Daphnia pulex: one gene and its partner. The protein of the gene in region 2 purifies or fractionates together with the protein of the main gene of each other region. This does not show direct contact. Links are inferred from orthologs where the notes say so. Each region holds a gene or a part of one and is shown on either strand. Other genes may lie near its edges. The genes, in order: RNA-binding protein with serine-rich domain 1-B-like and putative RNA-binding protein Luc7-like 1.

Region 1 (14,985 bases), on a different chromosome or scaffold from region 2:
CAATCGAAAAATCCAGGCTCCATCTACGAGAATTACCGCCGTACGTTAAATTTCCTTCAAACGCCTTCACGCTCAACTTTTAAACACCGGACTAGATCTACTCTACAAAGCGATAATGGCACCAACGTTTCCCAACTAGTGCAGAGCCAACTTGCTCACCTGTTTAATTAAATGTCCCTGTAAATTGTGTTTTAATGGAAAAGTGGCTTTTAAATTTAACTTAATATATACAAATACAATTATTTTAAAAACAAAATTACACTTTATTTATACGGTTTAACATTTTCTTGGTGAGAATTGACGGATTTTCTGGGTTTAAATTCTGTTTTAACTTTTAAAATGTTACGTTTCCGACACACGGTTAACGTTCAATAATACAAAAAGGGAAATTAATCTTTCTTAAATGACGTATGGTTGTGATGAATCATGCAGATTTCTGCATGGATTCCACATACCAAGAAGGGAGCAAATTCCGACTTCTGGTTTCACCCAGTTCGTTGCGGAAAGAGATGACACGTGACATCGCATCAAATTCGAATAGAAAGTGATCGTTGGAAGTCGAATCCTTTGGTATGCACTCCTTGACAAATTTCAAAAACTTTAAGCAAAAGTTCATACAGATGTTTGATTTCCAGCAGTCCTACAAACAGAAAAAACGTTCCAAATAAGCTGTCGGGCGCTCACAGAAATTTGTGTAAGGAAATCTACTCACGGTGGATTGTTTTCGCAGCTGATTCACATCCATGGTCTCTAGGCGTGAAACTATCCCCTAAAAAATTAATGATAAGTTTAAATTGATAATAACAAATTAATCCATGGGTTTTAACAAGTAATTTACATCATCATCTCGGTAGCCGACGACTATTTTAGGGATGCCGACAATAAAGGATTGAGCCCACCATTTCATTGATTTGAACCTATAGGGAAAAGGATTAAATAAGTGCATTGCGACAACAAGATTCTTTTTTGGTGTTTCGGTACCGATTGAAAGCAGCCTGTTGCATTTCATTTCCAATGTGTTTATTGGTCTTGAGTTCAACAAAGTTCTGGAGATCAAGGAAAGGTGGTTGGCTTTCTTTTGTGACGGCATCAACTTCCGCTCCATAAAGAAGAGGGAGGCCACCGATTCTCGTTTTGAGAACGCAGCAAAATTCGGCATTGGTATTGACCTGCTCGTTGGGATTCGGGTTTCCGTTTGGAGAACCTATAAAGTAATAAAGCAAGTTGTACAAGGAATTTTGATTTAGAATATATCAAGCTAAACATACTGGCACAGAGATATTGCTCAAACTTGAATCCCCAGATGGACTTTTCTTTCTGCACGGCAATTGAGCCATTTTGCTTTTTACTCTCCTTAAGTTGCCATAAATAGATGGAGTTTTGAAATCGGGTAGCAAGTATAGTCCAATTCTCCTGGCATTCATATGGGGTTGCAATCAGCAGAGTGAGTAGTCCACGATAACAGACAAACTCAACCAGCAAAGGTCTGAGAGGATGTTCATGATCAATGATATTCTTGTGCTCTGCCTTTCGCTCTTGAAGGATCCATCTCAGCAGATCATCCAACATCTTCTGTCTGATGGACTCTTCATCTTTTTCAACAACTCTTGATACTCCTCTTTTCAAATCAAAATTGACCTTGCAGCTCCCAGATGTTGAAGCTTCTGGGGGCATCGATAGATACCTAAGTTCCGAGTAATCATTCACATAATTTCTGTGGATATCTAATGAAAACGAACCCACGTTCTTGGGCCTCGTAAACTCTGGGAAATTCCCTGGAGAATAGAACAAAGAACAAATAAAATACACAAGAAAGAAAAATGTTTCAAAGAATCGTGTTGATACCGTCGAACTCTTCAATGTCAATCAAGCTCAAATTCTTTCTAAGTTTCTCGTTGTTATTATTCCTAAATCTTGGATCTCGAATTGATCCATTCTTCATATCTATGTATTGGCGCTTCATTTTCCTTTACTTATTAGTTCGAAGACGAAAAGAGCACATGTGAAACATGTGGTGACCAAGACTCGATTGAAAAGAAAACTTGAATTTTAATAATAGACGAACAACGTTGCCAAACGTTGACCGATAAAAACAAAACATTGTTTATATTTAAAACTTTTTTTTTATTCGTTAAAATACTTGAGCTGTATTCTTTTTTTTTCACAATATTTACGAAAAATTTACGTCAAAAACCTACAAAATATCCAATCATGTTAGTATAATATCAAGTGGAAATTCCGCCAATTAAATCAATAAACAAGTTTATATAATATGAACATGTTGTCAAACGTTTTTGAAGAAGACGTGATATTAAAAAAAAAAATACGACATTCGTCATTATTATAAATTTCCCATTTTTGAATTCTTATCTTTCCAATCTGCGAGACCGACAATAACTTGATCGGCTTCATGTCTACTCAAACAATGGCGAATGACACGTAATGTAATGGCGACGCGGCGGTCCATGGCATCGAAATGTCCCGCAGCTAAAATCGGATCAAGTGGATCGCGTGCCAACGACTTGCGCATGAGAGAACTGAGTCGAAATGGCCCGTGATGAAAACGTAAAAGAGTTGCGAGCGTCGTCCGCCTCACAAGGCAACATTGGTATAGTGGAGCCAAAATTGACATTTCGTCGTGATTGGGTCGACCGAACGCACGACCTTGATCCAAGTGAATGGGGAACGTTTGATTGCCAAACAAACTCAGAGTTTCATAATGATGACGATCCATGTTCCCGGCCAAGAAATCGAAGATGGCCAAATCGATTAAATCGACCAATCGGCGTCCTTCGTTGTAAGGAGGAAGTTGGCGGACTTGATCGCAGTATTGATCATCTATTTTTGAGGAGGAAAAACAGTGAAATTCAATAAATCGGCTATAAAACGTGTGATAACTTTTCATTCTGTATCCTTTACCTTCTTCCCATTGGGCTTTTTTACGTTTGTGGTAGGATCTTCGCCATGGGTGGCGCCAAGTTTTTCTTGGCACAAATTCTTTATCGGGCAAAAAAGCGGCCAGTGATGCTTCCATTTGGTCTGGATGACCGCAAATAGCGTGGCCGGTATCACAGTAATAGCTGCATTTACCTGCACATATACACAGAAGAGAAATCGTGAATCACAGAGTCTGGTCACCCAGAGATTGGCTGTCACCGTGGTTACCATGGAAACAGAGATTTTGTGCGGGAGAAATAAAGAAAGTTCGCAATAGCTCGCCAGTGGCAAGGGCATACAATTCGGTGGTCATGTTGACCAATCGACCGACAACGGGTGGAGCTCGCCGGAAGCCCATAATTCGATCAAGGTGGAAGGCGGCTATCTCGGCGTTGTGACGTTCGTAATCGGTAAAGTAAAAGTGATTAGGTAAAGTTTCCTGTTCACGCGGGAATCTGAAAGGTGAACAAAATAAATTTTTCAAAAAAATTAGGACGAATGTTTTGAATAACCCAAGTACCAAAAAAAAGAATAAAAAAAACCCTTCACCTCATGGGTTTCAACATCGCCATCCCCCCTGGGGCAAACTCGATGACTAGTTTCAGCTGCGTACCACCTTCTTTTTGACCTATTTTCACGCAGAAAGAAAAAAATACAATAACAAAATGATTCGTGAATTCATTCGTGAGAAACAAAAACCGGTTTATAACCGACGAAAGACTTACTGATGTTGTAAAATTCTAGACTAGTCATGTCTTGCAGGAGTTCGTCGATCATTGGGTCATCCTCGTGGTATAACTCTTCCTTCGAAATAGAGACGTGAAACTTTTCCCAAGAAGTGGCATCCTCACTTTTATTACAAAAATCCATTTTAATGACAGATGCCGTTAGATTATTACATGCAGGGTTTTTTCCCCCCTTACTTACCTAAGACTAACGTTGCGCAGCCGCATAACAGTCACGTCCAACTCACGCAGGTGACCTTGAACGGGCCGACTCAGCTCTGCCGGCACAATGTATTTCATAAGATCTTTGAATTGACTTTTACGGTGATCCAAACCACTGCCATCGGAATTCTTGTAGGTTTTATTTGTATCCGATGGCGAAGACCTTTTGCCCTTTAAAAGGTCCCGCATCACATCCGCCTTGGAACCCTGTTCATTGTTGCTTTAAAGGACAAAATACACATTGGGGTTGATTAAATGAAAATAAAATGGTCTGGCGAAATTTTTAATAAACGAGGCCACCACGCATGAAAATCATAGATAATAGCAATTCTAGCCTCAGCGACCACCAATACCAAGTACCAAAAAATGGAGGTGGACATGCGGAACGTGCCCAGCTAGCGGCTATGATCGATTGTGTTAAAAAGAATTGCTGTGTACGGTACTTTCTTTCTCCAGTCCGGTTTTTGCTATTTGTTGACTGACTGGCAAAATTTATATTCACAGTTGCAACGAAGAGAGAAAGTCCCCACACAATTGTATACACATATGTCTATAAGCTCATCTGCCCGCTACAAATAACAGTCGTAAAAACCCCCCCATCGTTAAAAGATAGCGGTTCCTTTTCCCGTCGATTTGATCAAAAGTGTCATTAAAATAGTTTTCGTTCAGCTCTTTCGTCCTCTTTTTTCTTCAGAGATATCTTTCAAGTCGTAAAGTAATCGGGGGCTTTGTTTCCGCCGTTATCCAAAGTTGGAAATCAGTACAACGTGTACGTACGTAGGTTAGTTATAATGCAGCTTTCTGCTTTCTAGATCTCATCCCGGTAAAGAAAATTGGTGACAGAAGTGATAGTTGTTAACCTCAATTCTCCACCCCAGCCAACCCGTTTTGAATTTTTGCTTTTCATTCGTGTCTCGAATCTTATCTTTTTCTTTTAGCTGAACACCAAAAAAGATAGTTCCTTTTTTTCACAATGTAAAATTACCTTTGTTGGGCAGCTGGGTCGTCATCGTTGAGTGTCGCGTTGCTCGCAACGACCCCGAGCTCCATATCGTCATTGTTGTTGGCATTGGGCTGCTGCTGCTGTGCAGTAGGAAGAACTGGATGTTCTAGATTATTAGACGGCACTACAGCAGCAGGATTGTGTTTGTCGAGAAATTGTCGTTGAAACTCTTTCCCCTCTTTTTGTCTGGCTGTTCCGTGCCTGAGCGCTGGAAGAATAAATCCGGCATCGGGTTGCTCTGCTCGTCCTCCACTGGAGGCGTAGCGTATATCAAGCACTAATACGGATGTGAGGAGGACAACACTCACGCCCAAAGCCAGAGCCACTCTTTCCTTCCACTTCATCACTACAATTCTCTTGTTGATCTCGTTGATGGTATTGACGGCGGCCCAGCGTCCGATCGTAATTGTCTTGGCATCCCTTTTCAAAAGGAAACTATTGGGTAATGGCCCAGAAAGAAACCGAACAAAAAACAAAAACAAATTGTGGTGTTATTCAATTGTTAAAGAATGAAAGGAAAACCCTTTCACTGAGAATAATGGATAGACAAAGCATTACCTCAACCTGATTTATAATATGGGGAGTCTGGGAGTTTGTTGTTTTTTCGTTCTCGACCGTCACTCACCAAGGGGAAAAAATAACCACAACTTTCACTATTAACCTTAAACTTTGTGTGTGTGCTGTGGTGGTGCGATCAGCTCACGAACATTTTTTCTCTCTCAGCACGAGATTTATAGCTCGACTACAACAACAATAACAACAACATCACGAAATCAATTGGTGCTGTGCAGAAAATCCTCCCCTCTCGAAATGTGGCCAAATTTTTGTTGTGTAGAGTCACTCGGTGATAAGAGAATGTTGATAAGATGATGAGACCATCGTCGAAAGACGTGCTACTGCTAAAAACATTCGACGGGAGACTGACCGACTTCGGGCTGCCAACGTGCCTTTTAATACACTCACTCTTTTCTTTTTCTTTTCCCCATTTTCTTTGACTATGGCGGCTGCTATGCCAGTGTGAGTATACCAAAGCTAATTTCAAACGTCGGCTGCATTCCATACACGCCCATCGATTTTTCTATGCTGTGCTTATTACTGCTTGCTACAGTTTATTCGAAGCGATTTGATCAATAATCAATCGTTCGTGACTGCTGCTGCTCGACGACTCTATAAAACTGAGTTACGATAGCTAAAATTCAATGATTACGTAACCATGGCAATTTTTCGCGACTGCAATTGCATTTTACCTTCTCCTTCGATGTACCAACAGGAAGATTATTTAAATGAAGTCTAATAACCGGTTTCGCTCGCTGCTGTGGACCCCGTGGTGGTGTAATTACAACATTTTCATTAGAAAGTATTGAATTAGTAAATTTTATCATGGACCTGGAACTAAATATGGTATTAGACCAGAACTGTAGATTGAATCTTCCTTTAAGAAACGTCCTACATTTGTCTTTTGTTTAAATTTTCCAATTCTGAAATCCAGAAATTTCTCTTCACATATTTTTTCTGTTTGTTTTTTCCCTCCGTCGTGTTGAAGGGGGGGAAATCCGGCGTTTGTATACAAAAAGTTCGACAATCCCACAGTCCACTCGATCGTGAAAGCGAAGTGACTAACCGCAATAAGGGATGGGAAGGGAGAAACCGTATCAATAACATCATTAACGGGCTCTATTCTATGGACAACATGTTTATGGTAGGGAAGCTCTTATTTCTATTCTCAACGGGACCAGCAGATAAGTATAGTACGGGCCTATTATACTTCAGTGCAACTACACGGATAGTTTACAAAGTACAAACAAAAATTAGAGGGGCATGTCGTCTTTGTTACGGTCGTGAGAACTTTTTTCCGTTCCGGACGAAAATAATAAAAGATTGATATTTTGTTCTGACTAAACTCTTTTAACTCTTAAACAAGTTTTGACCTTAGGCGAAATAATTTCAGCCGCGTTACTTATCCCGCCTTGAAAGTCCATTAAATTACAATTATCGTGATGCTCATGTCTACGATTTAACCGGTTGGGGATCGAGGTGCAAGTTGATTCAGCCGTGGAAGAGATTGTGGTCGAAGAAAAAAAAAACAAACAAAATATTCTCAAAAACATTTCCAATGCGATTCGCTGACTGCTAAGAGGATAATAAGAACCAAACAGACTTCCGTAATTGAGTACAGCTGTGCAAACAAATTTGTTCCAACTGTTGGGCGCGCCGTTGCCGGATGTAGGAAGACAACACAATTTACCAAATCGACTTTTTCATAGGAGGAAAAAAGCAGTTAGAAACAGCTACATTCCGGTTGTGAGAAATTTCTACCCTCCCCCTGATAAAAATTTGCTGTTCCTTTCTTTGTGTTTATAACACCGAGGCGAAACCGTATCTCCCGCCTTTCACATGTCACTTGTAAACCGGAATGAAAGTGTTCTGACTTGTCATGTCCCGCTACACACACTTCTATTGAGTTTCCAACAAACAGATCCAACTAGTTTTTTTTTAAGGCTTATCCGGTTTCTCCTCCAGCAGCCATTGACTTTAAAAAGAAAGCATTACTACTCGGATTACTGGAAAACGTCAGATGGCAACATAAACTTGCGGTTGGGTAACTTTTTAAATTGATAGATAAAATAATAATAAGACTTTTCATTTCAAATGAAAAAGAAATGTAGTAGAAACAACTGAAGGACAAATGCCATTGTCAGGTGATATTGTATCGTCTTGCAGGATTCCATCGAAAAAGGGAAAATTTACGGAATACGTGTGGCATTTACGCTATTGACTCATCAGCAACAGCTCGGGCGAAAGCAAAATCTGAATCACGAGCACAAAGTTGAGTTGATAAAAAAAAAAGAGTGGACGTTCTTCAACGTTAAATAAATCATGATTGTCTTATTTAACGCGAAGAAGATGATGAACTGCGACTGTAACGGCGATTGTTGCCACCTGAACGGCGATTGGGTGAACGAGACCTGGAACGGGCAGGTGGAGGTGGTCTCCTATCTCTGTCCCTTCGTGGAGGAGATCGTCGACGTAGGGGAGAACGTCTTCGGAATCTGTAGAAATGAACACAACAGATGCAAATAACCGGAATAAAGATTTACTTTAGTAGTATATTACCTTGGTGGAGATCGACCACCACCCATGCCCCAACGGCCCGGTCGATTTCTGGGTGGTGAATTCCGTCGAGGTGGTGGTGGACGGTTTTTAGGGATCAGCACAGGGGCGGCTGTGATTTCTTGTCCATCAATTTGGCCTAGAGATTATTTGAGATTAAAAACGTATTTATAGCAGTAACCAACAAACGTTACTTTACCTCCGTCCATATGCTTCATTGCATTTTCTGCTTCGTCGGCAGTACTGAACTCGATGTAAGCAAAGCCCCGGTGGAGGTGACTTAACCCAGCACGTTCGTTGGGAAACTCGACAGCTTTGATGGTTCCGTAAACGGAGAAAATTTCGTTAATGTGTTCCTTGTTGACATTGCGCGTCAGTCGGCCGATGTGGATTCGAAGTGGCTTGGGTGTAGGTGAACGATCGCGACGACGCCTCCGGGGAGATGTAGAGCGGGATCGTTTGTTTTCTTTGTTTCTGTCTTTGTCAACATTCTTTTCTCCATCCAGTTTTGTTTTCTCTTCATCAGGTTTGCTATCAACTTTTGGCTTATCACTCGCTGGGGCTCTGTACGTCAACAAAAATGCTGTTATCACAAGAAACTTGTTTACCGTCATCCAACTAGAATAATTACCTCTTTTTCTGGTGCTTCTTTAATGAACCGCTGGAACGTGAGGAACCTGATGAATCAGAAGAGCTAGATGAACTAGATGATGATCTAGAGTCTGAAGAAGAACTGCTGGATGATCGTGAACTAGAGCTGCTGCTACTGCTGCTGCTGGACGATCTAGAACTGAAATGTCACATTAAGCTGAAGGTTTCATTAAACACAACAAAGTTTAACACTACCTTCTGCTTGAAGAACTATCACTGCTTGAAGCTCTGCCTTTTTTCTTCCCAGAATCTTTGGTATCCTTTTTGTCTTTGCTAGCATCTTTTGATTTACTGGAATCTTCGCCGGCTTTCCGGTCTTTTCGATCGCCAGTTTCTTTGTCCGGCCTAAGTGATTTACACAAATTTAAAATATTGTTAATTTAGATTCATCGTAAAAATTTACTAAATTATTAAATGATGCTGAGGATTTAACTCGATTTACTCACATTTTCAGAAAGTTTTATTGAAAAACATACGAGTTGATAAAGGGGAGGAGCGTTAAAAACAGACGCTTAATGCCACTTGCACAACGTTGCCTGTATTAAATAGATTCTCGTTTTTATTTTTATGAATGTAAAGTTATAGTTTTTTAATTGGAACAAGTTATGTGAATTTTTTAAAGATTAAATCAAAGATTATTTAATTTTTTATTATTAAAATGTTAAACTAGTTGTACGACAGCCGACGGCAACGAAAAAATGTTTCGGCAATGATTGTTTTTGGGCTGTTGCCGAAACTCTACAAGGCCGTCAGTACGTATAGCAACCACTTGAAAACACTGGCCAAGTGGCAAAAGAAATGGCAGACAGGAGAAAGAGCAGGTAATCCCTTGCATGACTGTTTAAAAATATTATAAGCTTCCGGTCGTCACAATAATATTATGATGCTGTTTCAAATTTTAGCGGGCCACATTCGGCGGAAATAGCGGTCGTAAGAGAAATCTATGACGGTGAAAACGCCCAGGAAAGATTTGAGCTAGAACTAGAACGAGCTCTGGAAGCTGCTGTTCCAGTAATTGTCATTGAGCCAGTTCGACTAGGCGATGAAACGGCGCGATGGATCGCCGTTGGAAATTGTCTTCACAAGACAGCAGTACTTGCTGGACTTGGTTCGGTCATAACAGGTAAATTGTTGCTAGTATTCAGTTGTTGCATTATATAAGTCTAATTTTGTTAAATTTCCTGTTTAGGATTTTTCTGTGATAATCGTCCATACATATACACTCCATTAGGTCTCCTTTCCTTGCTGTGTACAGGACTGTACACAGCATCTTGGCAATTTGATCCTTGCTGTAAATACCAGGTAGAATACATACACTTGACTAAGTTGGCAAAGGTCATAGCAGATATCGGTTTTGCTTCAGGTTGAAATGGATACAAAAAGACTGGCCAAATTACCAGTTAATAGGTTGACCACTTCCAGTCCCATAGTTCTCGTAAGAAGAGATGATAACAAACGGAAGACTCTTCATTGCACCATCTGTGTTACAGCAGCTAGCATTACCCTTTGGAAGCTGTACTTTATTGCCTTCAAGTAGTCTTGTTATAAAGAAAACTTCCCAAATGTACAAACTGAACAATACATCCTTATTATATCAGAATGTATTAGAGATTCTCTACTAGAAATTAACGACTTTTTTTGCTCTTGGCCGCTCGACGCGCCATAAGTTTGAAATAAACGTTGGGTAGAATTGCACGAAGAAATACTGCTAAACGATAAAAGAGTGAGCAGAGCATCAGCTCTTGGGTTTTTTCCTTAATTGCAATGACAATTTCATATGCAGCTTGGAGTGGATCCGCTCCCGACTCCGTAGTTTCATCCGTCTGTCCATATTTGTCTCCTCGGCCCGTCAGCGCGTTCAGAGACAAACTTGTGCGGATGTATCCGGGGTTAATGACTGTCACATCAATCTTGTGACGATGGATTTCCGCTCGCAGACTGTCGCTAAATGCCTGAAGTGCATGTTTGGAAGCAGCATAGGCCGATCTGGAATCGACATAGACGATAAAAATTAAATATTAATGTATTCAAAAACATGATAAAACTTACCGAAACGGAATTGCCAGTTTTGATTGAAGTGATCCAATCATCACGATATGGCCACTTTGTCGTATTATCATTGAAGGAAGAATAGCTAAGTTACAATTAAATCAGAAACCCGATTTTTAAAAGATCACATTTGACGGTATTTACCTTTAGTCAATCCAATTGTTCCGAAGTAGTTAATGTTCATTACTTTGGCATCCACTTCCAGGGAAGTATCAGTTACTTCTCCTCTGTAACTGATTCCAGCGTTGTTCACAAGTATATCGACATATCCGTAGACCCCGAGAATAGTTCTTACTTTGTCCGCTAAATTGTTTAGGTCTTGAAGATCTAGTTCAATGATTACAGGTGGATAGATGGTGCCTTTTCTCAAGCCAGAACCCAGTAACTGTTCTTTCACACGATCAAGTTCAGTGTATCGCCTGGACGCGATAATCAACTTGCATCCTTCTGTGTACAAGCACTTTGCCAGGGCTTCGCCGAGACCAGAGCTGGCACCCGTGATGAGAACAACTTTACCTTCGAGACTGGAATCATGTCTCGAAATTCTTTGCTTTATAGCGAAAAATGCTTCAACCAATCTTCCTATTATTGTTAATGGTAAGAAAAGCAAACAGGCAATACAATTCAACCATTTTTTGGCCCAATTCAGCAATAGATTGCCTTTAAATGGCAGCCTCAGAATCTGTGCATCAGGTCCAGTTTTGCTGGGTGACTCTAATGAACCTAAAATAAAAACAAGAAAAAAATAACACATTTAAGTTACTTCACAACAACACAAATAAGTTATTTCTTAATTATTATTCATTCACAGAAGTTTTGTTTCAAATAATAGTTGCTAAATTTGCAATCATTAAGTGACAGGAAAAGAACTGTCAATTGGTTTTTGACACGGAAAGTGAAGTGTGAATAAACTAATTAGTAACTAATAACACTGCATGTAAGAACTGTCATTGAGCACATTTAGTGGCTGACAACTTGCTCTTAATAGTTTTGCCTGATATTAAAAGTTAATGACACTTACCCAGTGGTATATTGCCATCTGTAGTGGTGGTCGTTTCGGAGGCTTTTCCCACAGACGAAGTTTTCATAATCTATTGTTTTGTAATTAGTAGTTTTAGGCAAAACTCTTAAATGCATTTTTTTAACGTTGAAAAAAGGCGATTACTTACAGAGGTGGCTTCCTACAATGAATGGAAACACGACTTTCACCCTACGTGCCCGTAATGATACTGTGCACGCGGTACAATACTGCTTTTTACCATTCCTCTATCGTGTTGTTGATTATGGTTTTGGAAGCAGTCGAAAATTATCAGTTCAAATGTTAACGTTGTTGAGTTGTATTAGCAGATACTAGGTGGCATTTCAAGGCGGCAAAAATCGAAATTACTCAAACGAGTCGTCAAATCCGCCATAGTAAAACGGTTGAAGTGAAAATCCGCAACAATTTGACAATTTGACAATGACTTGATTTCCTTTTGATTACGAAGGGAAAAACACACTTCCCTATTGGAAATGGGACTTTAAATGGGGTTTTCAAAAGAAAATGAAATATAATCTAATACATAAAATAGCCTGCAGATATAGACAATTTCAATTTACAGAACCTTGACGTCAGTTCTTTTCAAGAATTTAAATTTTTCTTCGATCAACCTTCCTGTAAAAAATTTTACCTTCAGAAAACATTGGAGAGGTCCTGTTTCAAGAAATACATTTGGGGGGAGTATAAAACCAACGAAGCATGCTAGATTGCCCACCAACAACAAAGACCGTTTCCGGTTCTTACCGCAATAGAAATAATCACACATACGCATTTTAAAATGATACCAACATTGAATTCCTATACGTAAACAACATTGACAAACAACCACTATTAATTGCACTACCTGCTGTATTGCAATCTATTATGAATTATCGTGAATTTCAGATCCCTTTCGCTAACTGTAAGGGCTCTACACCGAATTCATTTCACGCTAAGAACGCGCATTCACGCTTCTCTTTTTGACTCGAACAAACATAAAAATTTGCTCCGTTATTTTACTTTCCTTTTTTCACATTCAAATGTGCTGTAAGCCTGTAAGTTTTCTCCCAAATGAACAATGCGGATGCTTGAATCTTTCAACACTTCTTTATGGCCATGCAGCTTTTATTTCTAAAACAATAAGGGGCGTGCCCCATTTCGGAATGTAGCTCAGACTAGTGAGAAATTATATAGGTTAAGCATGAGCCGAGTGCTTTCTACGCGTGCATGTACTTTCTACACAAGTATAAAATCCCTACCAAATGGCCACAATTGATTATTACTAGTGCGTTAAACCATGAATTACCCACAAAAAAGACAATCAATCATATCTTTTCGTCGCAATTCAAGGGTGTGTGTGTGTCTAACTCCGCCTTATATTCTTATCTCTGGTTACAATATAAAACCACTTCCCCGACCTCAATATTAAGATTTCTTTTCGGGAGACTCACGGAATTGTTCCGCAGTGTCTCGGTGAACAATGCTTCGTCAAGAGCGCTGGTCCGCCTGTGCGCTAATTTTCTTCTTTTTCGTCTCTTTCGCCTTCGCCACTGATTGGATTTGCCCTGCTGGCAACAGATTTTGCTTCCAACGAATTCCCAACAAGCGATCGTGGAATGAAAGCCGAACTGATTGCGCTCGAATAGGAGGTGATCTTCCAGGAGCCGACCACTTGGTAAGGAAACGAATTTACTACAGTATCAATTTCTGAAGCGCGTAAAAATAACTTACAAGTTCTTTGATCTTCAGGATGAACTCAATAGTTTGTCGATTCACGGCAGCAGCTCTATTTGGACTAATTTGTGCTTCAGCAAAGGACGTCTGCAGTGGCTGGGAATCAGAAACTCCCGTAATGAAATTTACCTATTTTTATGAGTCCTGTAATTGAGTTAACTGTTTTATCCAAACCGCAGATGAAGAGAAAGATCTGCAATTTATTGATACATTGTTACCTGATCTACCTCTTGTGGCCGACGGCCAACTGTATTGTTTCGAAACCGGTGGCAATCCGTCGAAAACTTTCACATTGAAACACAGTCAAGATTCAGCAAATGCCGTTTGCGTTTCGGACGTCAAATATCTTGTTCGTCAAACCTCAAGTACTTTCTCACTAATTTACCGCATTGAAATACTTTGATCAAACTAAAAATATCTATTACAAACCCACAAGTTCCGACGCCAAGGGGACAAATCTTATCGGTGTCGGCCGTGACGGAGGGCGCCGATATCGATTGGGGACCCATCGGACAAAATAGGGACGGATTCATGAACATTTTTCCGCCTAAAGTTACGTCGCTCAAGTTGAGATGCGATGTTAAAACAACTGGTGATTTGGATAAATCAGCTATTACCATTAGGTGGATGCGAAATGGCGGTTACGTCACAGGCAACTTTACTCAGGTCAGAGAAAGTTAAATTCGACAATCGATTTTTCTACCTTATTAACAATTCAATTACGACATTCAGGAATTGGTCAGCTTTGCTTCGGAAGATGATCTCATTCCGTGGATTGGGTTCATCAGTTGCGAAGCAGTCTACGGAAATGAAAGGGAAGTTGTTCGTGGTGGAGGATTTCACCTATCCATGTGGAACACGGTGACGGCACGTCTGGTTTCCACCTGCCTTACCTGTCGATTGAAAAGTATACTAGATTCGGCAAAAATTATATTGACTCAGGTATTAGCAAATCATAAATTACCCCAAACAATATCTCTCAATTCCAATGTTGTAATCGATAGTATGTTGAAGAGGAAATCGCTCGGGGATCTGGAAATTCAATTGAATTCTTTACGGAACCACCTGTTATCTCTTACCACACCATTTCATTCGTGATTCACACAAGGAATAAGGTATTCGGGTTTGGAAAGTACCGAAATCATTTTCCTGGTTAATAATAAAAAATCTTTTTAGAAAATCGACAAATTTGACTTCAAGATGGTTCAGAAGCTCGGCCAACATTTTCAACTTTCTCACTGGGCAAAGGATCGTTCACTTTTCCTACCCAAAGGAAGCTCAGATTTGGTTCTCGAGATAATCAGTCCGTGTAACATGGCCTTACCCCAGGATCGCGGCAACATAACATGGACTGCCTATCTAGGACAGACGGTACCATCCGGTAATTTCATTGGCGAGCCTATTTGCCTCGATAGCCGCGGAGCCATCATCACCAGAAGCTGCGGTCTACCCGTTTTACGTCCGATCCGTTTCCAGGTTTAAAATCTAAAAGAATTTAATTCAGTATCGTCAAACAACTATAACTAAATGTTTCA
Region 2 (15,749 bases):
GATTCTCAGCGTCATGGCTGATTGTCCGTGCACGTGTTATTGCTACTGCCCTGATGATTGCCATAGTCCCTTTTTCCCCCCTCCACCCCATACTACCAAATTCAACACGACCGTGACCCTCATCAAATGAGAAATGAGAAATTTTTGGATTGACATCTCGTGTGAGTGCATCGTGTGTAACGAGAAACCACCGGAAACTCTGGTGGTTGGTCGTTTCTTTCTCCCTCCCAAAGGCTTTGGCTGGGTTTTTTTTTATTGTATTTGAAAAAACATGCAACACATAGTGGGTGGATTTTGACTTATTTGTTACCCTCTTTATATTCTTATCAGATTGAACTACTTAGAAAAAGGGGTTTTGCGATATGCTTGAGAAAACGGATGTTGGATGTGGTTTCTTGGGTTAAAATCCGATATCAAGTTAAAACATGGGATAAAGTTTAAAAGCGAGAGAGGGTGAAGTGACAGCTGTGAACACGTGAACCCTCGGGCATGAGTTTGGTTCCTTTTTTTAAAAAGAGAGAAAAATAATAAAAAAAAACTAGCCTGGGTGACTGGTTGGAATTATGGGTCTGGAGAACATGTGGTGTCGACAAAGCCTCATTACTCTACACGCGTTCCTTATATCCGTTTTTATCATTTTTCCCTTTTTTTTTTTGTTGCAGTGTGAACTTCACATAGATCCGGAATATTAAAAAAAAAACTCGACAACAACAGAAAATGACGGGTCAGAACGGCCATTCCAACGGTGATGTGAATCCAAGTGACAAACCTCTGACGACATGGATGGTTGGGCTTGTCAATTCACGTTTGAAATACCTGACAGCCGAAACTTTTGGATTTAAAGTAACAAAGAAAATAATAAATTAGTTAATTAGTTCAGGACTTGCGTGTGTAATGAACTTGTACGACTCGTTTTCTAGGTGAATGCCAACGGGTTGTTGCTGAAGAAGAAGCAGCTGTGGACTCTGGAAGCCTTCGGCGACAGCACCGACGCCGTCTGCTTGAAATCGCATCTGGACAAGTATCTCTCCGTCGACCAGGTGATTGTCCTCTATTTTTCTTTCTTTTTTCCCTCGCCAACCGTCACCTGTTCGACCGGTTTTTAATATTGTTCTTCTTGCGTCTACCCAGTTTGGTAATGTAACTTGTGATGCCGAAGAAAAGGACAACGGAGCGCGTTTTGAGATCATTGTTCCCGAATCGGCTGCCGGTAAGTGGGCCTTTCGGCACCCGGAACGCGGATACTTTCTAGGCGCCTCCGCCGACAAGCTGGTCTGTTCGGCCAAGACCCCAACTGAGAATGAACTATGGTAATGACGGTCATCATACTAACACTCTATTCGTTTACGACTCGTGTGCCAGTTATTAACTCGTGGTGCTATAATTTATGGCTTCATGAACTCTTTGTGTTGGATCTAACTGATTGTTTTCGCCTTTTTTCAATTGGGTCAATAGGTTCGTCCACTTGGCAGCTCGACCTCAAGTCAACCTGCGTTCAATGGGTCGAAGACGATTCGCGCACTTGAGTGAGCAAGGAGATGAAATTCACGTCAACGCCAACATTCCATGGGGTTCGACGACGCTTTTTACGCTCGAATTCCGCGACGACTCGCGTCTCTACGCCATCCACACAGCCAACAACCGTTATTTGTCGCGAGATGGCCGACTCCTGGAACAATGCAACCCGACTTGCCTCTTTTCACTGGAATACCACGCCGGAGCCCTGGCTCTGCGCGATACACAGGGACTTTACTTGGCCCCCCTCGGTTCCAAGGTTTGTGCTGCTCACATCTATTTTAACGTTATCGATTTTTCTTCTCATGAGTCCCGTTTCACCCCTCCTCTTTCCTCCTCCTCGTTCTTCCCCCCATCATTTTACGAGATTGGGGAAAGAAACTCACTGGTGGAAAGAAAAAAAGAATGGGTTTGCGTGCGCTCGTCTCTTGCCCAACTCGGCTAAAAGGTTGATTGGTTTTCTCGGTCAGGAAAGGAGATGTAGTCGCTGTAGGAGGTTATTGTTCTACTGTTTTGCATTGTGGGATATATTGTTGTTTCCAGGGGAAAACAAAAATCAGGGCAAAATGCTATGCACGATCAATTTCTAGACATAATAATGAACAATATCTGATGTTTTATTTTTGGTTTTGAAAAGGAAAAAAAATGGCAAGTGTTTCATGGTGTTCTTCTCTTGTCTGGTTTGTTTTGACAGGCTGTCTTGAGGACACGTTCAACTTCGGTGACCAAGGACGAACTGTTTACGCTTGAAGACTCACTGGCTCAGGCTGTTTTCGTCTCTATGATGAATAGCCGTTACGTATCCGTCAAACAAGGTAATATAACATTTTAAAGATGCACTTCATTCCTCACATTTGATTTCGATAGGCGATATGAGACAGGATTTCGGCTTTTTTTTAGAATGCGAGTAATATGGGCCCTCATGGGGTGGGAAAGAAATGGGAATACCAGACGTACCTTATTTTTGTATTTTTTTTTTCTGAAAAGAAAAACATGAAAAAAAGGATGTGTCTGTTTCTCTTTTTGACTTGGGTCCGTAGGACCATAACCATTAACCAACCCGGGTTCAAGAGGCCATCCGTCAAGGGCTAGTCGCACTCGAGATTTTGTATTTTCCCCCAGACTAATCAATAGTGGGCGTCTGACAGGGAGTGCACGTGTTGGCAAATGTCGGCTGACAGATGCAAGAAGGTAAAGACATTTATTCCGGATCGATTCTCGGCGCTTCCGCGTTTCGTATTGATCCATCGTCCACCCTCCCTCTGCGTCATGGCGTTCCCTCCTCCCCCTCTCTTTCAACTGCTTTTCCCTCGTCAGCAACAGCCCAGAGGCAATCTTTTGTCCAACTGAGAATTTTTCTTTTAGACTCCTCGACTTACGACTCGGCGGTTGTGAAATGTACGTTTAATTTTACTGAATAGATATTTATCGTAATAGTAGTTGCAAGTTTATAGAATTCACATTGTTGGAATCGTACCATGAGAGATTGTGATCCAATCGTACAAGCCGGATTAATGGCCGTGTGAACGCGACTGGCGTGACTATTCTTTAGCCCGGACGGACGGACTTGTATTGTGGGTAGATCTTTTCGGATTGTCTAAGGGAACATATAAAAAATAAAAAGATAAACAAACCAGGAAAGAAACCCCAACCACAATACGTGACTGGATTAGCCTTTCGAGTACATTTGACGGTCACGAACGATTTCCACGTTGTGCTTACACACACACCATCACGTTCCACATGCACATTACTGTAATTGAAGTACGTATTTAACAACAACAACGAAAAAATCTTTATTTAGGTGTCGATGTCACGGCTAACCAGGATGAAATCTCCGACCATGAAACTTTTCAACTCGAGTTCGATGTTTCTACTGGACGCTGGTACATCCGAACGATGGGTGACCGCTATTGGACTTTGGAGACTGCTGGGGGCATCCAAGCATCTTCAGCCAAAAAGTATTAATTGAACGAGTGTATTGTGGGTAACCAAGTGTGGGCAACTAATAGTTTTTCTTCGTAGGAGTTCGAACGCCCTGTTTCAAATGGAATGGCAGCAGGACGGATCGATTGGGTTCCGCGCCAACAACGGCAAGTTTGTCGGCACTAAAAAGTCTGGACATCTGTTTGCCAACACCGATTCGATCGATGAATCCAGCAAATTCTTCTTCTATTTAATCAACAGGTTTGAAACCATTACTGTTACAAGACACTCTGAAAGACCTAAATCTTGACCCAGACAGCTGACGAACGATTGTTATTGATCTTTTAGACCCATGCTGGTATTGAAATCTGAACAAGGTTTTGTTGGCTACAAGAGCGGCTCAAATTGTAAATTGGAATGCAACAAAGCCAACTACGAAGCCATCCAAGTTGAACGCGGGCCATTGGGTCTAGTCTATTTTAAAGGTATTATTAAAGAGTTATTTCTAGTGTCATTCCAGTGATGGCTGGTTGTTGTGTATTCAAATCTTTCTTCTTTTTTGGGTAAAATAGGTCAGAGCGGTCGTTACTGGACAGTAAGCTCCGACGGAATTACGGCTGATGGAGACACTCCAGAGGGTTTCTATCTGGAGCTGCGTGAGCCTTCCAAATTGTGTATCAAAAGTGGCGACGGTGCGTACCTAATGGCCGACAAGAACGGTGTATTCACAGTCGGAAGTCGCGATTCTGAGCTGGCCACTCGCTGGGAATTTTAACACGCACACTTTGATTTCTCTTTTGCCCTATTTGTCCTGGTTTTTTCTTGCTGTTTTATCCGTAGTTTTTCGTCGCTTATTTCTGTTACACACGTTCCCAGGAAATTGGTAACACCGTTTAAAGAAACACATTTACCACTGCTGCTTTTTTAATTACATGCCATCTCTATCGGCTTGCAAAGAATTAAAAGAGATGCGCTTCAGTAAGTGTGTCTCTTCCAAGGGACATCTTCGAGCCATCCGGATTACCACTTTTCATTGCATCAGTAACCGGAACGCCCAAGAGTCTTAAAAAGGGAGGAAGTTTATGCTGCTTTATATTGCCATTGTAATCTGTGGGAATCAAATTTTTTAAAAAATTTCTTAAATTATTTCCGTTTAATTTTCGTTGTTTTGCATGTTCATCTTCCAACGAATATAATGTATACTCTCTTCCACTTACATACGTACCACCGTGCGCCAAAATGATGACGAAAGAAGCATCGGATTCTACAAATGTGAAGAGCAGTTGCAATATACCAGGGACCTGCTGCTGTTTGGCGTATCGAGTGAGCTACGTCAATGTGTACATGTGGAAGTGAGTATAGTATTTTCCTACTCAATCATCATCGCTTCCAATAATGCGGATGAAAATTCTTTTTTTTTCCCAATTTTAAGAAACTCTGTAATTTATATTTGATATAATTGGTCGTGTGTATTGGAAGTCACTTTTGGTAAAATTACACGGACATCTAAACAACGATTTTAAAATTGTTTAGTAACTTCGCTCCTGACTAGCGTTATGTCGCTTTTGATTTGTAATGCTAAATTAAACATTAAACATCTAGTGTTTCAGATTAGAAGTGTATTACTTAGTAAAACAAGGGATGGACAACGGGCGAGAGTTCAGGATTGTTTCTTGTCAAAATACCTCTTGATTGTGTGATGCTAATAATTTTCTGGGTGGATGCCAGAGTCTCGAGAGGAAGAGCGTTGCCGGTGATTGCGGGACACGGGTGAACGGGGTCGGTTTCTACCATCCTGACGTCTGTCACGAGGTCGTTCCGGTGATCTATCGCGTGAACGACGTCTCTCTCGCCGTCGGTCTCTTTCCCTTTCTCTCTCACGTTCCCTTTCGCGATCTTCTCTCTCACGCTCACGTTGTCGTTCCCTTTGTTTCTCTCGATCGTCCGCCACTGGCTGAGTGTGGCGTTGACGCCGTCTTTCTTCCACTTTGACCTGTAACAAGTCGTTAAAAATTTACTACTTCAAAGTTTAAAAAAGACAATAGTCTTCGCTATCTTCTACCTGAAGTTCAGCCAATTTCTCACGAATTTTAATGAAGCCGAGGTGAAGTTTTCCACCAAAATGATCTGCCAAACGTCGGTCGTTATCGTGAATGCCGAGGTACGCGGAGCAAACTTCGCAGACGCGTAGTTTTTGTTGTTGGTACGATGAGGCCGGCATGGCGTTTCGATATTCTTGCTCAGCTGTTGCCTTCTTTTTGCGGAATTCCTCAACCTTGACGGCACAAGGATGGAACTCATCCAGAAAAAACGACATGAATGACATTACTGTATACCTCTTCCATCATCTTCATCGATTCATCGACGAACCCTTCAGCGCCCAATTGTTCCGCCTTCGCCAACTTTTGACCGATCTGTTCTGCTAGAAGATGAACCTAAGTTGCCATGCAAGAGTTCGGCTGAATACATTTTTGTGAAAGGATGTTTATCTAGGATACTCGAACGAACCTTTTGGGCTTTGGCGGCCACTTCAGCAGACAATTCTTCTTGGGTTTCAGCCAGCCGTTTTTTGGCAGCTTCTGTCTTCCGGTCGCATTCACCAACAAAAGTGGTCAAATGATCCATGGCCTTAAAAGGAGAGAAAAAATTAAATTTTTTTTAAAACGTAATTGGGCTAGTTAAATTAGTTGTTCAACTCACATCGACTTGATAGCCATAATCCTTGGTTTCGCTGGCCTTTTCGTAGTCGGCACGTAGAGCCAAATCGTGAATGTTTACGCATTCTCCAATGTCCATCCGCTAAGAATCGTAAGTTAAAAAATACGAATAGAGATCACGAATGGCGGAGCTTGGCTGACGTGAGACTCGCCAACCAGACAACAAAAATGATAGCCGTTGTAAATGAAGAGGATTCGTGGATTCACACTTACCCAACCGCCCTTTTTCACTTGAGTTGGCTCAGCATGGACACTATAGCCAGCCATATATTGTTGATATACCAACAGTTAAATATGTTTACTAGGGACAGGAAATTCTAGCCACTGTACTTTTTGGCTGATTAAAAGTAGCTGTTGGATTGTTCTTATAAGGTACAAAGGAGGTTGGCAACGCACCACTGCCATGAGTCTTACTTACGGCCACTTGAGGTGTAATGTGGTACTGAGAAAGCGATGAGTAATCTGTAGCTGATACCCCATTATAACATCACTGCACCACGCAAAAACATAGAAATATCAGTTAAAAAGTCACGTCCCCTTGTTTAATGGTCCCCTGTGTCTCGAGAAACTGACTAACTGATCTTGATTTAGCAAACGAGTGCATAATGGGTAACAGTTCAAGTATTTGCAACACAAATTTGCAAAGCAAGATCAGAAAGGAGTATTCTTTTCAGGCACAATCTTTTACAAGCAATACAACCAAGGAGTTGCTTTTTTTTCTCAAATAAATGAAGGTTTGAGGGATCAAGAGAAGTATCTCTTTAAATACTTACAGTTGAGGCCAAGATCTCATGAGGGCAGCATCCCAGCAGAAAACTCTTGCAGACTTTAGGATCGGAAAACTTGACGTTGTATCGAGAACTCTCACCTAACACATAAGAAAAAAAATTTATGGAATCTTTCCAATGCTGCAAATAATTTATTCTGTTACCATCTCTTGTTGTTCCCATCAACTGATCTAACATAGCCCTCATTTGGTCTTTGGCAGACATTCTGCTTCAAGTTATTTGAGTGGTCGATATTGTTAAAGGTATGTAAAACACGTGATCGTGTCCAACTTTTAAAATACTATTTTTATGTCGGTGAATAAAGTGAAACTTTACCAACTTTAACAACTCACGACACACTCGCACTGAAGGTATTGGGGCGATGACAACTAAGGAGCCTCAGGCGACGCTGCAGGTATTTTCTTCTGTCCTTTCGGCGATGTCAAATTTCAGCAAAGACGACTCGCTCGCTCATTACGAATTCATTTTATTGTATACCAGGTGTGCATTTGCATCAATAGGTGGCCCCTGTTTGGGCTCGTACCGGCTCAATGTTTTGTTTTTGTTTTTCGTGTGAACTCGTTTCTACAACTCTCTTGATTATCAGTGAAAGTGCATCCTGAAGGTTGAACATAATTCGCTGGAACAGACTGGTTTTCAATCAGTTAAGTTTCCAGAGTACAACACAGAAGAAATATTAACAGAAAAGCCTGAATGTAATGGTGGAAGAAGAAGTGGAACAAGAAATCCTCGGTGAATGGAACTCGATCGCTGAAGATTCAGAGGCGATCGCAGCGTTGACTCGTCGAACGAGGAATCTTCTTCGCGGTTTTAAAGGTAATCTTGTGTTCTTATCTCAACAGCCGATAATTGCTATTCATTCAACAATATCGTTTTTATGTCCTTTATGCTCAAAACACGTTTTTTACGTAATATCACCGTGCAACATTAACAAGTGGGCATACAATGTAAACATTTATTTTTAGATGCGAAACACTTGCAACGTTTTTTGGAAAAGCTATACAGTTCTGTAGCTTTTTCGAAGTTGGTGAATCTTCTTAAGGTATGACAGCTGAATTTACTTTCATATATTTAAAATTTAACCAGTTTAAATCATTACGCGATATGTTTGTCTATTACGTCGTAAAGAAAACAGTAAACGGAAGCCAAAAAAGTCTAGGCAAAATGCCAAGAGTAGTTTGATTCTTTCCAGCAGGCGGCAAGTGCTTTCTGATTTCGCGATAGTTTAAAGACTTTTGATTACAAATTTTATGATGTTAAATTTTTTTCTATGGGCTAAGTCAACCTCGAATTTATGCCGCATATTTCTTTTACTGGGTTTAGTGTCGGATGGTTCCCGAAATTCTACATCTTGATTTATGTGTTTACGAAATTTGGTCTTTTTGCCCTGTGTAACAATGATGTCTTTTGTACTGGTAGATAACACGGAATAATCAAACCCGGGGTGATATACTTTACATTGCCCAATCTATCTTTGAAGCACAATCTGCTAACAAAAAAGGTATGTTTTATACTCAAACCCATTATGTCATCATAACACTAAATCCAAGGTGACCAATGATAACAAACAAAAGCATTTAAAATACAGATGCTCCTTTTTCGAGTGTGGTGAGCCCTACGTTACTTCTATGGCCTGTACTAATCGAACTGGCTTTCGAGTTGGAGATTGTTGTACTAACAGAACAACGCTTTCTAGCGTTGGACATACTCAATCACATTTTTAAGAATAGTAAGAATTATAACCCTTTGAGCACCAGTGTCATGCGTGTATCTTTCGTTGCAGGTTTGCCAACATTTCTCGGCCTCTCGCACTCTCAAATGCGCACGTAGATTTTCAAAACTTGGATAAACTAAAAAAATCATATGATAACAGACAAGAACGACAGCTCAAAGTATTTTCTGTTACTATTCTTGACTTTTTTTTCTTGCCTTGGCAGAGACGAATACATTGACCGTTTGCCAAACGGTCGAGGCAAACCGACTCGTCCTCGATGTGCTCAAGTTGCTCGAGTCAAAGGAAGGAAACCGGAAACTTACACTGAAGCAGCACAAGTGTGCTGCTTCCATTTTATCGAGCCTTGCGCGACATAGTAATCACGATTTTTAAATAATTTCTTCTTATTGTGATTAGAGCGGACGATATTGTCGTTGGCATTGTTTTGACATTTCAGAAGAAGGACGCCAAGTAATAATTGAAGCCAAAGTCGTAGAGCGCTTGCACGCGTTCTTGCTGGCGTTACCAAATGAAAAAGCTCGCGATACCCTCATCCACAAAATCGGGCAGACTATTCTTAGATGTGTTCCACTTCATGATCTGCCTGTAACTAACGGCACACATTCTGCCTTCCGTTACCTGCCATTTGAATCCATCTCTTCCGGATCTTTAGGTTCATCATTTTCATATCTTCCGCCTGTCCCAATTCCCACCCCATGTCACTCAACCCCATCGCCGTACAACATTTCACTATTTTTGATTTCGGTTTTCATGAATCATCTTTTTCTTTTAAATTAGGTAATGGCGCGACGTCCGACTCGAGTGAAGAAAGTGAGGAAGAGGAAGAAATAGGAGACGGTTCACTTCCTGGTTCTCGTAACTGGTCGTTTTGTAGTGGGACAAAAAAGAAGTCAAAGAAATTCTCACCGCCGACTAATCCGTACCGAAGTGCCGAAGAACTAGAGCAATACCGACGACATTTCGATCTGAAATCCGATCAATATGAGGAAGACGAACTTAGAAACATATCTAAGATTGTACCACCAAATTTGAATCGCCAGCAAATTTATGAATTTTTTGCGCGTCGAACGAAATCCATCCATGGGTTTCGTCTTATTCCTTGTCCGGATTGGAGCAATTCGAGTGGCAGCTCAGGTAGAGAGCCCTTCTATATCAAAGACCGCAACGTCTGCAGGTACACGAATTACTTCCTTATTAATCTAAATTGATGTTTAAAAGTAACAATTTTCCTTGAATGTTTTAGGAGTAAACTGTTCAAATCATTGAATATGGTTTTAAATCCAAATTCGTATCGACCAGAAGTCGTTTACGACCTTGACTCTTTGTTATTGGATGCAGAACAGACTCAATCTATCCGCATGGAAGATTTTGAAGCCGCATCAAAACATCGCATTAGTCAACCCAATGCTCCACTGGAATTCGAATCACGCTTCGAAAGCGGCAATCTACGTCGTGCTATCAGGGTATGACAGTCTAAAACGTCCCATCAGAGTAATTACTATTTTTAAGGCATCCATGTTAAAGTTAAATGTTTTATCTGTTAGATTGGAAGCCATGAATACGATTTAATACTGAATGCCGACGTCAACTCGTTTGGTCGTCAACAATGGTTTTACTTTCGTATTTCTGGCGAAGGAGTGTGTTCATCAAAATCTTACACTTTCAACGTAATTAATTTGGAGAAGCAGCGAACGCTCTTTCATCAAGGTTAAATAATATTTAATTTGACTTTCTTTGATGTTCTGTGTTTCTCATTGTTTTTTCGTGACATTGATGTATCCCTTTATTTGCAATCCTTTTATTTGACATGGGATTAGGCATGCAACCCTTGATGTTCTCTGTGAAACGGTATATGGTAACACGTACCCAGCCGGTTTGGGAGCGCAGTGGCACGTCCATGTGTTATTACCGCAACGGCTTCCGACAATCAAATGCCGAACAAACATCTTACTGGAGTCTTTCCTTCACGTAGAAATTGTTATCGTCCCTTAACGTTTTATTCATCGATTTATTCAAAAATTTTGTTTTCAGTGTGACCGTTCCGTACGACAATGACGTTTTGTACATTGCTTATCACTATCCGTATACTTACAGCCAATTAATGGTGAGGTTAAATTTAATATTTGCTATTCAAATGTACTCAAATTTGCTTTCTTTTACAGACAGATGTAGTTACCTGGTTAAGGACACCATTTCCTATCGGATATCCATCCTATAGCATGGATCGGTTACGAATATCGACTCTTTGCCGATCCCCTTGTGGAAATCCAGTTCCATTGTTACTCATCGATTATGATGGAGATGCGAAGGTAATAGCGAAGGAGACACTACAAATGTTCACCTTATTTGAATGCTTTTGTTTCTGACGCATATGGTAACCTTTGTCTTTTAACTGTCTCGCTCCTTGTGTTTGCGATGACTGCGGATGCTTGTCGGCCCAGTCCTGTTGCGTTTTTATGTCTCGAGTCCATCCTTGCGAATCGAATTCTTCCTGGTCCATGAGGGGCCTTGTCGTCACCGCTCTTCAGGATATGACACAGTCTGATGAAAGGCATCATCCACTTTTTATTCTGCCAATGTTGAATGTCGACGGGACGGTGCATGGATGGTACGTTCCAAATCTTTCATTATTAACCTATTTAATTCTACCTAAGTCGCCCGCTTGCCCAATCGCCAAAGGCTGGCGGAAAGCATCTCTTATAGGACAAAATTATTGCAAAATAATGTGCACTAATTTTAATTATTTTAAAAATGTATTCAATTAAGTTAACCAACCAGTTGAGAGAACCATAATTTAAGAAACCAATGACCCAAAAAGGTAAAATTCGGAATGAACAAACGTATGTTAACTAATTCAAAGCCATACGACGATGATGATGCATAATTTGTGCGGTTTAATACTTAACACCTCGATGAATTCTTTTAATCTTGATAAATTTCGGCTTTATCGAGCTGAGTTGCCTTGAGGGGATGTAGATAATGCGGCAAATGGATTGAAATTGTAGAAGTAGCAGCGTGTCTGCTCACAAATGAAATGGTTATTCTGGGCGCAGTTTTCAGCTCGCCAAGTTTGTGTCTGGTCCGTTACTAGGAGACAGTTGGAATCGGTTGATCTAAAATGCAGCGTGAAAAATGAGCCGTTTCATCAATGCGTGAATAAAATAACAGTCACGTTTTTTTTTACATCTCTAATGTTTCTTTTGTACAACAAAGAAAGGGAAGTTAACGATCGGTCCTTGGGTAAAAATATTTTGTCGTTATTATTGATTCTCTAGTGAAAACATCCACGAATAACCTCAGGACAGTACGTTAACTTCTCGTTCTTGTACGGAACATTTATACATGTAATCAATGAAATAGCAGAAAAGAAATAAATGCAACCCACCGGTTAGGTTCTAATCCGTTGGGCCAGTAGTTAAAAGTTCCGTTAAACGGAGATCCGTTACTCAGCCATAGCCAAGTGCTAGTTCCCAATGTATTTCCCGACGTCCAAAAATCAGCTGCTGCGGCTCCTATACACTCGTAAAATAAGGGGGAATTGGTTTAGGGCGCTTCTAATAGATTTTCGAATTTGCATCTTGCCAAAAGGGATGGCCATGACTAAGGTGCCAATTTGTCCAATTCTATGGACATCATATATAAATAGCAGGTATTCGTTAAAGCTTACCGGGGCGAAGGTAATCGGCAAGCTGTTGGGCTTCTTCGGCTGATTCCAAACTAATTAGCTCCATAGCAATCGTTCGACAGTACCTTGTAAAAATAAATATTTTCATAAATCATCATCACGACTGTCGTTCGGGTAGGCGAATGTTACTGGTAAGCTAGATGGAAGTTGAGGCGAGGTGCGTAGGGATTCTGCCAAGAGATGAAGTATCGGTTGTCGCCGATTTTCGCGGTAGAAATGCGTTGACCCGCTGCCAAAAAAACAAACAGAGAAAAAGTGACAATTTAGCGCTTGACGTGCAGCGATGGATGTAATATGCAATGCGAAAAGATTAACCTTGTCCGCAAAAAGTTCTAGAAACACCAGGGTCGACATAAATTACGATGTAGTATAGTAAAGCATTTTTTCCCCATCACAGTTGCAGTAGTTAACAAAAAATTGGCACGCAACACAGGAAAGGCTTGAAATTGAGTTGAAAATTCCAAAGGGAAATGTTTCTTCAGAGCCTTCCAAGCACTATCGTACAAGGGCTTAATTCTAGTGTATTATTTTAGGTTCCCCACGTCAAGACCCCGCAGTCAAAACATGTTATTAAACTGAACATCAATCAGCATCTTAGCTGTAAACCTCAAAATTGTTTTTAAAGCCCCCCTAGCCAAAGCTTGGTACAAACCAAACATTTTTTTTTCCTCACCAAAATAACTTTTTCTGCGGGCCATAATCTTGCGCATCTTGGGATTTAATGCACGGAAGAAATAATAATTTATCTATGCGTCAAGAAGGATTATTATTAGCTTACCGGTTATGGACGCAAAGAAACTCAGGAGTAGAATACAAGATGAAATCCTCGCCGTCATTTCTGTCTGTCGCGAATTTCGATTGCGGAAGCACAACTTTCAATGTTTTTCTCGGCTCTCCTAAACGTGAACTGTCTCGTAGACGACTCTTCCTTCTCACTTTTATATGAAGCGCACTATTTTTATGGTTTTCTTTTTCATCGGGAGAACGACTAGTGATTCAGTGGTGCTGATTGGCCCTCGAGTAATACCTAGCCGTGGGGTGTTAACTGTACACGAAAGAGTTTATTTCAATTTATCCTTTCAGGGACGCTCACGAGGGTTCAGAAGAAAGGAAAACAGCTCAATGACTTCCGAAGCAACAACTATTAACGCCGACTGCTATGAAACTTTGGGGGGGGGGGGAAAAATGAGTGTGTTAAAATTGCGGTCAGCTGCTGACGAGCGACCTATAACATAGCGGGAATACACTGTTCAAAACGGAAAACCGCGACGAATTCCGGAAACCATTCAAAGACTATCTGGATGGAAGCAAATTACAAATTATGCTTTTCGTCTTGTCAAAGAAGATGGGCTTTGCTACCAAATAATAACTACAAAATAAGACGATTTCAATCATTAATAATTTTGGGCAAGGCTTATGTATGTTCGGAAGAAAATAATTATGCGCCTTATGCTTTTGGTCGCCCTAATAGCACGCACATGTTTTTAACACTGTTATTCAGTCAGTCGCGCGACTCGATAACATTTCAGGTTAAGTCGATACTTTTTTTTTCAACTCTTTTCCCATGATATCAAATAAAAACTTGATAGGATATTCCAGGAATTTTCACGTTGTCCTCTTGTACTGTATTGTTATGTGGGAAGAATTTTTTGCAATACCAACTTATCCTGGCCCCTATCGAAAATACCTACATAAAACCGTGGTCTGCAACCGTTAAATTTGTATGTTGCTGTGTCAGAATGATGTAATAAGCGAATGGGGAACACCAAAATTGTAGAGATTAAACAACGCTTAAAGAAATAGTCCAGGTGTTGACACAAAAAAAAATCAAAGGTATGTTAACTAGATAAACGTGAACTGTACAAGAGCCAATTTGTTTTGCTCACCTTTATTAGTTAATTTATTTAAATATAGCAATCATTCACCATACCAATGCATTCACCTTTTCACACGTATAATTATGGGCATTCTCTCTCTATTTTCAACAGTAGCCGGACCGAACTAAGTAACGAGGATTTAAACCGTCGTTGGCTAACGCCAAAGTATGTTACTTTTTTTTTCTACTTTTCGTGAACCATTTTCGACGATGAATGCTACTTTTTCTTAACGATTTTATTTTTCTCTTTATTGCATGTCGCGTGAAATTCACGCAGTTTGCATCACCATCCAACCATTTATCACGCCAAGGTATTCATCGCTCAGTGTCGCTTTTTTGTTGTTGTTGTTTTCTTCAAGTCGTTATTACGCCCATTTTGGCAGGGTTTACTCGAGTTCATATGTCGGATACTGGATGCAAAACCGGCCGTTTTGTGTGATATGCACGGTCATTCCCGTCGCTTCAACGCCTTTGTGTACGGATGTAAAGGCTCGCAGAGTTGGTGTCCAGACGATTGGTCACAGAAAGATGCTCAAGGTGACCATCCTACCATGAAAAAATTGAAAGACGAAAATGGTGATGATGACGACACTACCTCCTTACCGGTAATTCCCGTAATTGGCTCTTAAATGGACTTAATCTTCTGAATATTATTATATTTGTTTTTATTGCCAAGATTATAACGCTCGTTTAGACGTAGTATAGGGTTGGTTAGTCTTCGATCCGATCCGTACGCAATTTGAAATAGTCCCGTTCGTACGGGATGTAAAGAAATTGTTGCTTCCGCACATTTCATTTTAATTTTTCAGTAGCCTTTTCTCTTTCAGTTTGATACAAAGAGTAATGTTTTCTAATTCAAATTGCTGACACAGAAATGCAAAAAGAAAGGAGGATAATCGCGAATGTTTTCAATACTTTTGTTATCGTGCACTAACATTAAAATTCTGCTCCATTTCCTTGTAATAATTATTTTATTTTATTTTCTCTTTTGTGCTATTCTGTATCGCTGTTGGGGCAATGCAGTTTTTCGTGCAATTAATGCAAGCCCAATCGCCGCTATTCGACACAAACCAGTGTTGTTTTGAAGTCGAAAAGAATCGCGAAACTACTGCCAGGATAGTGGGATGGCGGCATCTAGGCATCAAGAATATCTACACTCTGGAGTGCAGTCTGGCTGGATCTAACCAACTCCCTCTACAGGTATTTTTAATAACGTAAACCGCTTTGAACAATTCCTTTCTTCCTCGAGCTAATGGAAAATGTTAAGTCTCCAGGGAAGGGGGGGGGGGGCTTAATAGCCGGTTTTCGCTATCCGGCTGTCCCTGTTGGCAAGATTGAATCTGACTTACAACGTAATAATAAAAATAGCTTGCCGTAGTGTTTCGAATAGAAATCTATTATCTAATGGACTTACAGTTCATAATCTGATAAGTACAGAATAGACCCCCGAGTAGAAAAAAAATGAGGATTAATTAAGGTCACTAGCTCAAGTATTGATTTCTTTTTC

Evidence for each region.
Region 1: the proteins of putative RNA-binding protein Luc7-like 1 (region 2) and RNA-binding protein with serine-rich domain 1-B-like purify together in Homo sapiens (affinity purification with mass spectrometry; 3 studies listed by BioGRID and IntAct, counting the BioPlex papers as one, with this or other methods). This does not show direct contact. The link is inferred for Daphnia pulex from reciprocal best matches to the Homo sapiens genes LUC7L and RNPS1.

What each region holds. Positions count from the first base shown.
Region 1 is NC_060025.1:2,677,633-2,692,617, forward strand, and holds RNA-binding protein with serine-rich domain 1-B-like, read right to left. Parts: upstream 9,180-14,985; 5' UTR 9,098-9,179; coding exon 9,096-9,097; intron 8,995-9,095; coding exon 8,845-8,994; intron 8,789-8,844; coding exon 8,630-8,788; intron 8,563-8,629; coding exon 8,198-8,562; intron 8,138-8,197; coding exon 8,002-8,137; intron 7,938-8,001; coding exon 7,778-7,937; 3' UTR 7,564-7,777; downstream 1-7,563. Other genes in the region: uncharacterized protein LOC124203102, read left to right, coding at 1-171; decapping and exoribonuclease protein-like, read right to left, coding at 425-640, 713-769, 839-917, 982-1,204, 1,269-1,775, 1,846-1,963; extracellular serine/threonine protein CG31145-like, read right to left, coding at 2,342-2,838, 2,920-3,090, 3,166-3,392, 3,487-3,565, 3,663-3,787, 3,865-4,104, 4,870-5,231; transmembrane protein 11, mitochondrial-like, read left to right, coding at 9,448-9,470, 9,552-9,772, 9,839-9,951, 10,013-10,186; dehydrogenase/reductase SDR family protein 7-like, read right to left, coding at 10,275-10,635, 10,699-10,783, 10,843-11,421, 11,720-11,786; uncharacterized protein LOC124203076, read left to right, coding at 13,197-13,391, 13,466-13,565, 13,630-13,815, 13,887-14,116, 14,183-14,392, 14,455-14,565, 14,627-14,926. UniProt on the Homo sapiens protein: Part of pre- and post-splicing multiprotein mRNP complexes. Auxiliary component of the splicing-dependent multiprotein exon junction complex (EJC) deposited at splice junction on mRNAs.
Region 2 is NC_060020.1:3,374,772-3,390,520, forward strand, and holds putative RNA-binding protein Luc7-like 1, read right to left. Parts: upstream 7,334-15,749; 5' UTR 7,151-7,333; coding exon 7,090-7,150; intron 7,028-7,089; exon of another isoform or gene 7,027-7,027; coding exon 6,932-7,026; exon of another isoform or gene 6,426-6,931; coding exon of another isoform or gene 6,372-6,425; intron 6,241-6,371; coding exon 6,142-6,240; intron 6,070-6,141; coding exon 5,950-6,069; intron 5,877-5,949; coding exon 5,778-5,876; intron 5,717-5,777; coding exon 5,504-5,716; intron 5,435-5,503; coding exon 5,144-5,434; 3' UTR 5,046-5,143; downstream 1-5,045. Other genes in the region: protein singed-like, read left to right, coding at 718-843, 921-1,040, 1,132-1,310, 1,456-1,774, 2,210-2,330, 3,320-3,476, 3,541-3,702, 3,790-3,926 and 1 more; cytosolic carboxypeptidase 4-like, read left to right, coding at 7,645-7,762, 7,912-7,988, 8,366-8,447, 8,535-8,675, 8,884-9,036, 9,118-9,333, 9,459-9,855, 9,925-10,144 and 9 more; uncharacterized protein LOC124192494, read right to left, coding at 11,626-11,794, 12,067-12,193, 12,349-12,431, 12,496-12,595, 13,145-13,202. UniProt on the Homo sapiens protein: May bind to RNA via its Arg/Ser-rich domain.